2 linked regions of the Neurospora crassa OR74A genome follow. The protein of the gene in region 1 purifies or fractionates together with the protein of each later gene. This does not show direct contact. Links are inferred from orthologs where the notes say so. Each region holds a gene or a part of one and is shown in the gene's direction. Other genes may lie near its edges. The genes, in order: NCU07438 and NCU02510.

Region 1 (4,480 bases):
GAGAAAAGCTGGGATGATAGTAGCGCCCGGGACGGTATCACGGTATCATGTGTGTTGTATGTATGTACTAATGGCGGTCCCTGAGTGGTTCCCTCCAGTCGGAGTCAAGATCCAATGCTCCGTCTTGTCGGTTTGATGCGCTGTTCGTGGGAGGTTTTAGCAGCTGTCATTCAGTGTGCCTGCCGCCGCATACCTACACTAGTAAACGACGCGTGACCACCCCCAGGCGACGTCATTGTCTTACACCCTCTCTTTTAGGCCCCTTGTACGTGGTACGACGACTACAGGTTTCTTCCTATTTATTCCCTTTTGCTCATCCATCGTTTTCTTTTATAAAAGAGACCCTTCTCGACCTTCAAAACCTTCCACTTCTACACCTTACCCATCTTCCTGCAAGACGATATCGAAAAAGTTGATCAAGACTCCTCTCAGTTGTCTCACTACGACCCACTCCTCACGAACCATCAAGACAAGTCATAACATCAAGACCATCACAATGGCCGGCGGCGACGATCTCAGCAAGAAGGAAGTCAACATTCTTCCCCACGACACCCAGAAGGACGAGCAAGTACGTTACCATTTCCTCCCTAGTCTGGTGCCTTGTGTGAATCACAGAAAACAGAAAACTGACTCTTTGGCCAAACAAATAGAAGAACCCCAACAACCCCCTCAACAAGCTCGCTGATAGTGCCAAGGCCACGTTCGAGCAGGCGTCAAAGGCCATGCCCGGTCCCGCCATCTCGCAGAACATCGGCGGCGAGGAGGGCACCAAGGAGGAGCGCAGGGCCAAGGCCGAGACGCTCAACAAGTAAAGATATGGACTCGGACAAACAGGGGAATGGATGGAATGATTGCAATGACTGAATGATACACACACATACACATAACATAATTGAACTGTTTTGACAATTACTCTGATGGATCAGTCCTGTTGGAGCCTAAAGTGACTTTGGTGGTGGAATTGCGCCCAAATGAGAGGGGTCTGGTCCTCGAAAGTTGTCTCAAATGGGAGCAATGTTAGCATGTGAAGGTAGGTAGGTACTTTCATGTCATCCCATGTTCGTACATACCTACACTACTTTCATCCTATATCAACCTGAGCCATATAACCTCCAAATGCACATGGAAGTTGTTGTCATTGCCAGTTTCAACATGTCCCTCAAACACCCAGCTCTCGGAGGAACCGTCTCGTTGGACATCCATCATCACGGCGGGCAAGCGAAAGGTCGGCTGTGCAAGCGGCGGGCGGGAATAGTGGAGGGGTTCAGTTGAGGGATAGGTACCCACTGTTAGTGGACACGGACAATTGACGCCCTATCCACCCCCGGCACAATGTCATGACGCTATCTGGTTCATGTCCACAAGTTGGTCGCTTCCCGTCGGAAATTGGTCATTGTGGCTTGCTGGGGTTTCGTTGCCATCCTGATTCCATTCAGTCAAAGCCAAACAGCCCGGTCGTTGCCGCCGCCGTAGTGATGCAACTCCCAATCCCCGTACATAGTGTAGTTAAGTAGTGTACACTCACTGCATGCCTAAGGAACCTCTTGCCAGGTACACCCGCAATTCAACTTCCTTCTTGTCTACCTTGCAATGGGACTTGCTCCTCTCTCTGTAGTCTGTACAGCTTTAATACATTGAATTTTCACGGCAGATTATAACTAAGCTTGCCAACTGAAGGCTGCTGGATCATTGTCCGAGGTACGTTATTCCCAGCCTGCCGCCGTCTCTTCTACTCAGTATCTGCTTTTGCTCCTTTCAGTCATTGGACATCCGGGCGGCCGAGTCTTCCTTATTCCTCCCACCAACCACCAAACATCCGTGCCTCCAATACCCAGACCTACCTCTAGCTAACCGGCAACTTCCATTGTCTCTTCTAGGCTTCCGTCAACTGCTTTTATTCCTACGCGGCAAGGCCACGGAAGCGCGGAGCTTTACTTTATCTTGTACCGACAAGATACTTGGCCGTCGATAACAAGCGCCAACGACCCGAAAAGCATTAATACGACATCCCACTTCCGACTTGCTACCTCACCCTTCGGTCGACGTTGCCCCCCTCCCCTCGCCGACCGACCCGCCGACCGGATCAAGGCACGACGACTCAGCTTCATAACAGTACCTCTCGGCGCTGCGCCCGCCGGCCGAGTCCTTCTACCGAATTTCCGCATAACGACTCCCAATCTATCCATGCTTTGCTCCCCCTGGACGATCTAAAGGGGACGACAGGCCGCAACCTACCTCAAGCCACTTCCACGCTTCCACCCCCCATATATATTCACGATGCCGTCCATCCTCAGCGACGACGACAAGGAAACGGTCAAGCGCTGCGTGCCCAAGCAGACCAACAAGATCCACGCCGTCGCCGTCGCCAGGCTCTATGTAGCCTACCCCAACCCGTCCAGATGGACCTATACCGGCCTCCAGGGTGCCGTCGTTCTGGCAAATGATCTCGTGGGCAACACATATTGGATCAAGATGGTTGATATCTCGGTAAGTGTGAAAATGACGATTGCGTGGCTGGCCACCATTTGGCTGACATCGGACAGCCCGGAAACAGGGGAGTGATATGGGACCAGGAGATCTTCGACACTTGGAACTACAACCAGGACCGTGTCTTCTTCCATACCTTCGAGCTTGAGGAATGCCTGGCTGGCTTGTCCTTCGTGGACGAGAAGGAAGCCAAGCAGTTCCTCAAGAAGATGAACGACAGGGAAAAGAACGCCAGCAAGGCTACCAGCAAGACACCTTTCGGAGGCGCATCCCAGGCACACCACCACAAGCACCACGGTCTTTTCGGCGGTCTGTTTGGAGGACATAAGCACGCGTCTCCGACAGCCACCCCGCCCGAGTCGCCACGTGCCGCTGCACCGGCAGGCCGTATGAGAGCTGGAAGCACTAATGGAATAAACGGATACAAGCCTCCTTCCGAGTTTGCGACCCTGGATGCTTTCGATCCCCTGTGGAGGGAACACTTCGGTGACGACCTCAAGGCCCAAGGCCTCGACGACGACTTCATCCGCGAAAACCAGGACTTTATCATTGAGTTCTTGAAACAGGAGCAAGCGAAGCAGGGTATACACACGAGCACTCCTCCGCCGCCGCCGCCGCCGCCATCCGCTCCTCCTAATGGTCCCGCAATGAGAGCTCCCCCACCACCTCCTCCTGCTGCTGCTCCGCGCAGTGTCTCCGAGTCGATAACTCCATCGACCTCTAGGAGAGGGCCAGTACCCCCGCCTCCCCCTCCAGCAAGGAGATCCGGCAAGCTCGACACGGAAAACCACCAGGAACCGGCCCCTCCGCCGAGATTTGCTGTTCCTCCTCCCATCGCCGATGCTGGCAAGTTTGCCCACTCTGATCCCCCGCGACATACGCCCTCTGCGCCTGGACCTCCACCACCTCCCCGGCCGCCGAAGACGCCACTCGAAGATCAGGACCCGAGCCAGAGGTTCAGCGTTCCTCCGCCATTCACAGGCCAACGAAGTGTACCCCCGCCGCCTCCCAGCCGTAGCTCTGTTCCTCCGCCACCGCCCCCGAGAAATTCAGCTGCGCAACCTCCTCTGCCTCCCAAGGCACCGGGACCAGCACCTCCCCTCCCGCCTGCGAGCTCACGGCCGCCCCCCATGTTGCCAACTAGAAGCCCGGCACCACCGCAGGCACCGCCTCTCCCGACCTCGAACGCGCCACCTCCGCCGCCTTTACCGGCCACCCAGGCGCCTCCACCACCTCCCCTTCCCGCAACCAGCGCGCCTCCTCCGCCACCACCGGCACCGCCAGCACCTCCGGCGCCCCCTCTACCCGCAGCACATGCTCCCCCGCCGCCGCCTCCCATGCCACCCATGCCCGCACCATCAGGCGGCGCACCGCCTCCGCCTCCGCCTCCTCCACCGGGTGGTATGGGTGGTGTCCCTCCCCCTCCTCCTCCCCCTCCTCCAGGTGGTATGCCTCCACCGCCCGCCCCTGCCTTGCCACCTGTTGACGGCAGTCGTTCGGCCGTGTTGGACGGCATCAAGACCGCGGGAGGTATCAGGGCGTTGAAGAAGGTAGACAGAAGCCAGATTCGCGATCGTTCCGGTGCTGCTGTTCCTGGTGGCTCCGATAGTGGGCCCGCAAGCAGTGGATTGCCGCCCGCTGGAGCTGCGCCGGGTGGCGGTGGTGGAATGGCGGATGCGTTGGCGTTGGCGTTGCAGAAGAGAAAGGAGAAGGTTAGCAAGAGTGGTAAGTATCTGGATTATCCCTGGCTTGTGAAGTGTGAGAGCATGTCGAGAATGATGCTAACACTGGTGGAAAAACAGATGATGAAGATGATGGTGATGATTGGGACTAAGTGCCCGATACCAACAATGACACGGTGAAGAGCCACCGGAAAACAACAAGGTTCCAAGTAGGAGAAGAGTGCAAAAGGAATGAAAAGCAAGACTGGAGAGACACCGATATCCAACCATCATCCATTCATCTGGTCGTTATTTGGCCATAGAGGAGATGA
Region 2 (4,364 bases), about 1.9 Mb from region 1:
GCAATCGCTTGACTGCCTGGACGCCATGATGAAGCACAATATTCGCCAGAATCTCCAGACTGTCGTTCAAGTCGCAACCAAGTATGCGGAGCTCCTCGGCGCGCAGCAATTGATTGATCTCTTTGAGAAGTACAAGACTGCTGAAGGTCTTTACTACTTCCTTGCCAGTGTCGTCAATGTCACCGAGGACCCCGAAGTCGTATTCAAGTACATTGAGGCTGCCACCAAGATGGGACAAATTCGCGAGGTTGAGCGTATCTGCCGCGACAACAGCGTTTACAACCCCGAGAAGGTGAAGAACTTCCTCAAGGAGGCCAAGCTCAGCGAGATGCTTCCTTTGATGGTTGTCTGCGATCGCTTCAACTTTGTTCATGACCTGGTTCTCTACCTGTACCAGCACCAGCAGTTCAAGTCCATTGAGATTTACGTGCAGCAGGTCAACCCGAGCAGGACTCCTGGTGTCATCGGAGGACTGCTCGATGTGGACTGTGATGAAAGCATCATCAGGAATCTCCTAAGCACGGTCAACCCCGCATCTATCCCTATCGATGAGCTGGTGCAGGAGGTTGAGACTCGTAACCGCCTTAAGCTACTCCTGCCCTTCCTGGAGGCTACCCTCGCTGCCGGTAACCAGCAGCAGGCTGTTTACAACGCTCTCGCCAAGATATACATTGACTCCAACAACAACCCAGAGAAGTTCCTCAAGGAGAACGATCAGTATGATACCCTCACTGTTGGAAAGTACTGCGAGAAGCGTGATCCCAACTTGGCCTATATTGCCTATCGCAAGGGCCAGAATGATCTCGAACTCGTGAACATCACCAACGAGAACCAGATGTACAAGGCTCAGGCGAGGTATCTTTTGGAGCGCGCTGATAGGGAACTTTGGATGTTTGTGCTCAGCGAGAACAACGTTCACCGCCGTTCTGTCGTAGACCAAGTCATCTCGACGGCCGTTCCTGAGTCGACTGATCCCGCCAAGGTTTCCGAGGCTGTTACGTGCTTCCTGAACGCCGACTTGCCTGGCGAGCTTATTGAGCTGCTGGAGAAGATTGTCCTGGAGCCGTCGCCTTTCAGCGACAACCAGAACCTGCAGAACTTGCTTATCTTCACTGCCGCCAAGGCTGACAAGGCCCGTGTGATGGACTACATTCACAAGCTCGACAACTTCGCCGCCGACGAGATTGCTAATGTTTGTATTGAGGTTGGCCTGCACGAGGAAGCCTTTGAGGTCTACAAGAAGATTGACAACAAGGAGGCCGCTGTCAATGTTCTTGTTGAGCACGTCGTTAGCATTGACCGTGCTCAAGCATACGCCGAGGAGGTTGATATTCCTCAGGTTTGGAGCAAAGTTGCCAAGGCTCAGCTTGATGGTCTCCGCGTCAGCGATTCCATTGAATCTTACATCAAGGCCGAGGATCCGAAGAACTACGAGGAAGTGATCGAGGTTGCCGTTGCTGCTGGAAAGAACGAAGAGCTCATCAAGTACCTCCGTATGGCCCGCAAGACCCTTCGGGAGCCTGTCATTGACACTGCTCTTGCTTTCTGCTACGCCCGCCTCGATCAACTTCCTGAGCTTGAAGAGTTCCTGCGTGCTACCAATGTTGCCAATGTTGAGGAGTCTGGTGACAAGGCGTACGCCGAGGGCTTCTTTGAGGCGGCCAAAATCTTCTACACCAGCATTTCCAACTGGGCTAAGCTGGCCACTACTCTTGTCCACCTGTCCGACTACCAGGCGGCTGTGGACTGCGCCCGCAAGGCCAACAACATCAAGGTGTGGAAGGAGGTCCACGAGGCCTGCGTCAACAAGAAGGAGTTCCGTCTTGCTCAGATTTGCGGTCTCAACCTTATTGTTGATGCTGAGCAACTCCAGGCTCTTGTCAAGCAGTACGAGACAAACGGCTACTTTGATGAGCTCATCAGCTTGCTCGAGCAGGGTCTTGGATTGGAGCGCGCCCACATGGGAATGTTCACCGAGTTGGGTATTGCGCTGTCTAAATACCACCCCGAGCGCCTTATGGAGCACCTCAAACTCTTTTGGAGCAGAATGAACCTCCCCAAGATGATCCGTGCTTGCGAGGAAGCCAACTTGTGGCCTGAGCTGGTCTTCTGCTACTACCACTACGATGAGTTTGACAATGCTGCTCTCGCCGTTATGGAGCGCCCTGAGAACTCTTGGGAGCACCAGCAGTTCAAGGAGATCACCGTCAAGGTGGCCAACCTTGAAATCTACTACAAGGCCATCAATTTCTACCTGGAGCAACATCCCTCGTTGCTCACCGATCTTCTCCAGGTTTTGACCCCGCGCATCGATGTCAACCGTGTTGTCCGCATGTTCCAGAAGTCCGATAACCTGCCCCTGATCAAGCCTTTCCTCCTTAGCGTCCAATCTCAGAACAAGCGGACCGTTAACGACGCCATCAATGATCTTCTCATTGAGGAGGAGGACTACAAGACTCTGCGCGACTCTGTGAACAACTACGACAACTACGACGCCGTGGACCTTGCCGGTCGTCTGGAGAAGCACGACCTTGTCTTCTTCCGCCAAATTGCTGCCAGCATCTACCGCAAGAACAAGCGCTGGGAGAAGTCCATCAACCTTTCCAAGCAGGATAAGCTCTGGAAGGATGCTATTGAGACGGCCGCCATCTCCGGCAAGACGGAAGTTGTCGAGGAGCTTCTGCGCTACGTAAGTTATTTTTCTTGTCTTCAAGCTCATCAAGTCACGTTGGCTTCCTTTACTGACATTTGTCTCTGTAGTTCGTTGACATTGGCAACCGCGAATGCTACGTTGGTATGCTTTATGCCTGCTATGACCTCATCAGGCCCGACCTTGTCCTGGAGCTTTCTTGGCGCAATGGTCTCAATGATTTTACCATGCCTTATATGATCAACATGCTCTGCCAGCAGACCAAGGAGCTCGCTTCTCTGAAGGCCGACAACGAGGCTCGCAAGGCTAAGGAGCAGGAGAAGGAGAAGGTCGAGGACAACACGCCCATTCTTGGCAACCGGCTTATGATCACTGCCGGCCCCGGCCAGGCATCCCCAGCTCCTTACGGACAAACCAACGGTTTTGTGCCGCAGCCTACCGGTTTTGGCTTCTAGAGGGCTACCCTGGTAGTTTCTCCATGCATCCATGATCCTGGACGGATCGCATCCGGTTTCTTCATGTTACACAGTGAAGACCATCAGGATTCTGGAGTTTCAGGTACCCCTTAACTGGATCCTGTTGATGCTGTTCCGCTTGGCTGTCTCATGGTGGACGACAATCTTGCTGATATGCCACGATTTCAATGACCTGGAGAATAAAACAACCCATACAGATGAGAGATGTAAATGGCTTTTTGCGAATGTCTGTGGGATGAAAAAGGGAAACGAAAGGGAAAGACGGATGGCAGGGTTTATTGCTTTTCATGTTGGCCAGATCATTAGAGGCTCATGGTCTGTTATAAATTTCATGTATGATATCTTATTTCATAATCAGAGCTCTTCGACTTGATTGACTTCTGATTACTACGTGTCATGGTCCAAACGTGCCACTTTACATGGTTCGTATCAGGTACCCTCTGTTACTTGACTTCAGGGAGAGATTCCAACGTGCTCCGGAGTTTTACAAAGCTAGAAAACATGCCCCTTTACCTAGCATCACGCAGCAGCTGTGCTTGGTGTAGTAACCATACGGAGATAGTATTGGAGACAACCCCCATCACTGGCATTATCGTCCACAAGACTCCCCTACGGTCGGAGCAGCATTACAAATGCCAAGCGGTTGCAACAATGATGTGGTATCCGTACATACTCCATCCCAATGGTAATGATCATGCAGTCCTTGGTGCTTAGGTGGCCCGTCTGCTTCGTTCTTTGAGCAATGATAGCCAGCGACGGTTGATAACCATCATGTAGAGCCAGCCGTTAGTACCTTCAACCAAGGGCAATTAGAAATTTCCAAATAACTCGATGGCGCCAAAGGACATGCCGTATCTATGCCACAGAGTCTGCACATGTCAAATATATATATATATATCGTGAGCAAAACAGCCATAGCCGAAAAGTGATGAAGCGCCACGCGCCGATGATGGGTGGCTGGCTGTTCAAGTTGTCACTGGGATAGAACTGATCTACTCGAGAGGCCAAAGGACGAGATATCCTTGTTTCACATAGGTTCATGAAGGTAGGGTAAGCCGGCATGATGCCGGTCGGTCTCTGAGGCCGCAGCTCGACTGTAGATTCAGATCAAGCTAAATTGACGAAGTCGCCAATAAGAGGTATCATGGTGCATCTACAAATCCTGGATTTGGTGTTTTTTTTCCCCCGAAACCAATACCAGAATAACGCCCACCCGGAGAAAGCCCAGAAACTGCCGC

Evidence for each region.
Region 2: the proteins of NCU07438 (region 1) and NCU02510 purify together in Saccharomyces cerevisiae (affinity purification with mass spectrometry, with the first as the bait; 3 studies listed by BioGRID). This does not show direct contact. The link is inferred for Neurospora crassa OR74A from reciprocal best matches to the Saccharomyces cerevisiae genes LAS17 and CHC1.

Annotation. Positions count from the first base shown.
Region 1 is NC_026501.1:624,876-629,355, forward strand, and holds the start of NCU07438 (WASP-like protein las17p), read left to right. Parts: upstream 1-1,476; 5' UTR 1,477-1,698; intron 1,699-1,877; 5' UTR 1,878-2,277; coding exon 2,278-2,487; intron 2,488-2,543; coding exon 2,544-4,212; intron 4,213-4,289; coding exon 4,290-4,321; 3' UTR 4,322-4,480. Other genes in the region: NCU07439 (hypothetical protein), read left to right, coding at 497-568, 651-812.
Region 2 is NC_026501.1:2,558,422-2,562,785, reverse strand, and holds the end of NCU02510 (clathrin heavy chain), read left to right. Parts: coding exon 1-2,689; intron 2,690-2,760; coding exon 2,761-3,105; 3' UTR 3,106-3,659; downstream 3,660-4,364. UniProt on the Saccharomyces cerevisiae protein: Clathrin is the major protein of the polyhedral coat of coated pits and vesicles. In yeast, it is involved in the retention of proteins in an intracellular membrane compartment, presumably the trans-Golgi.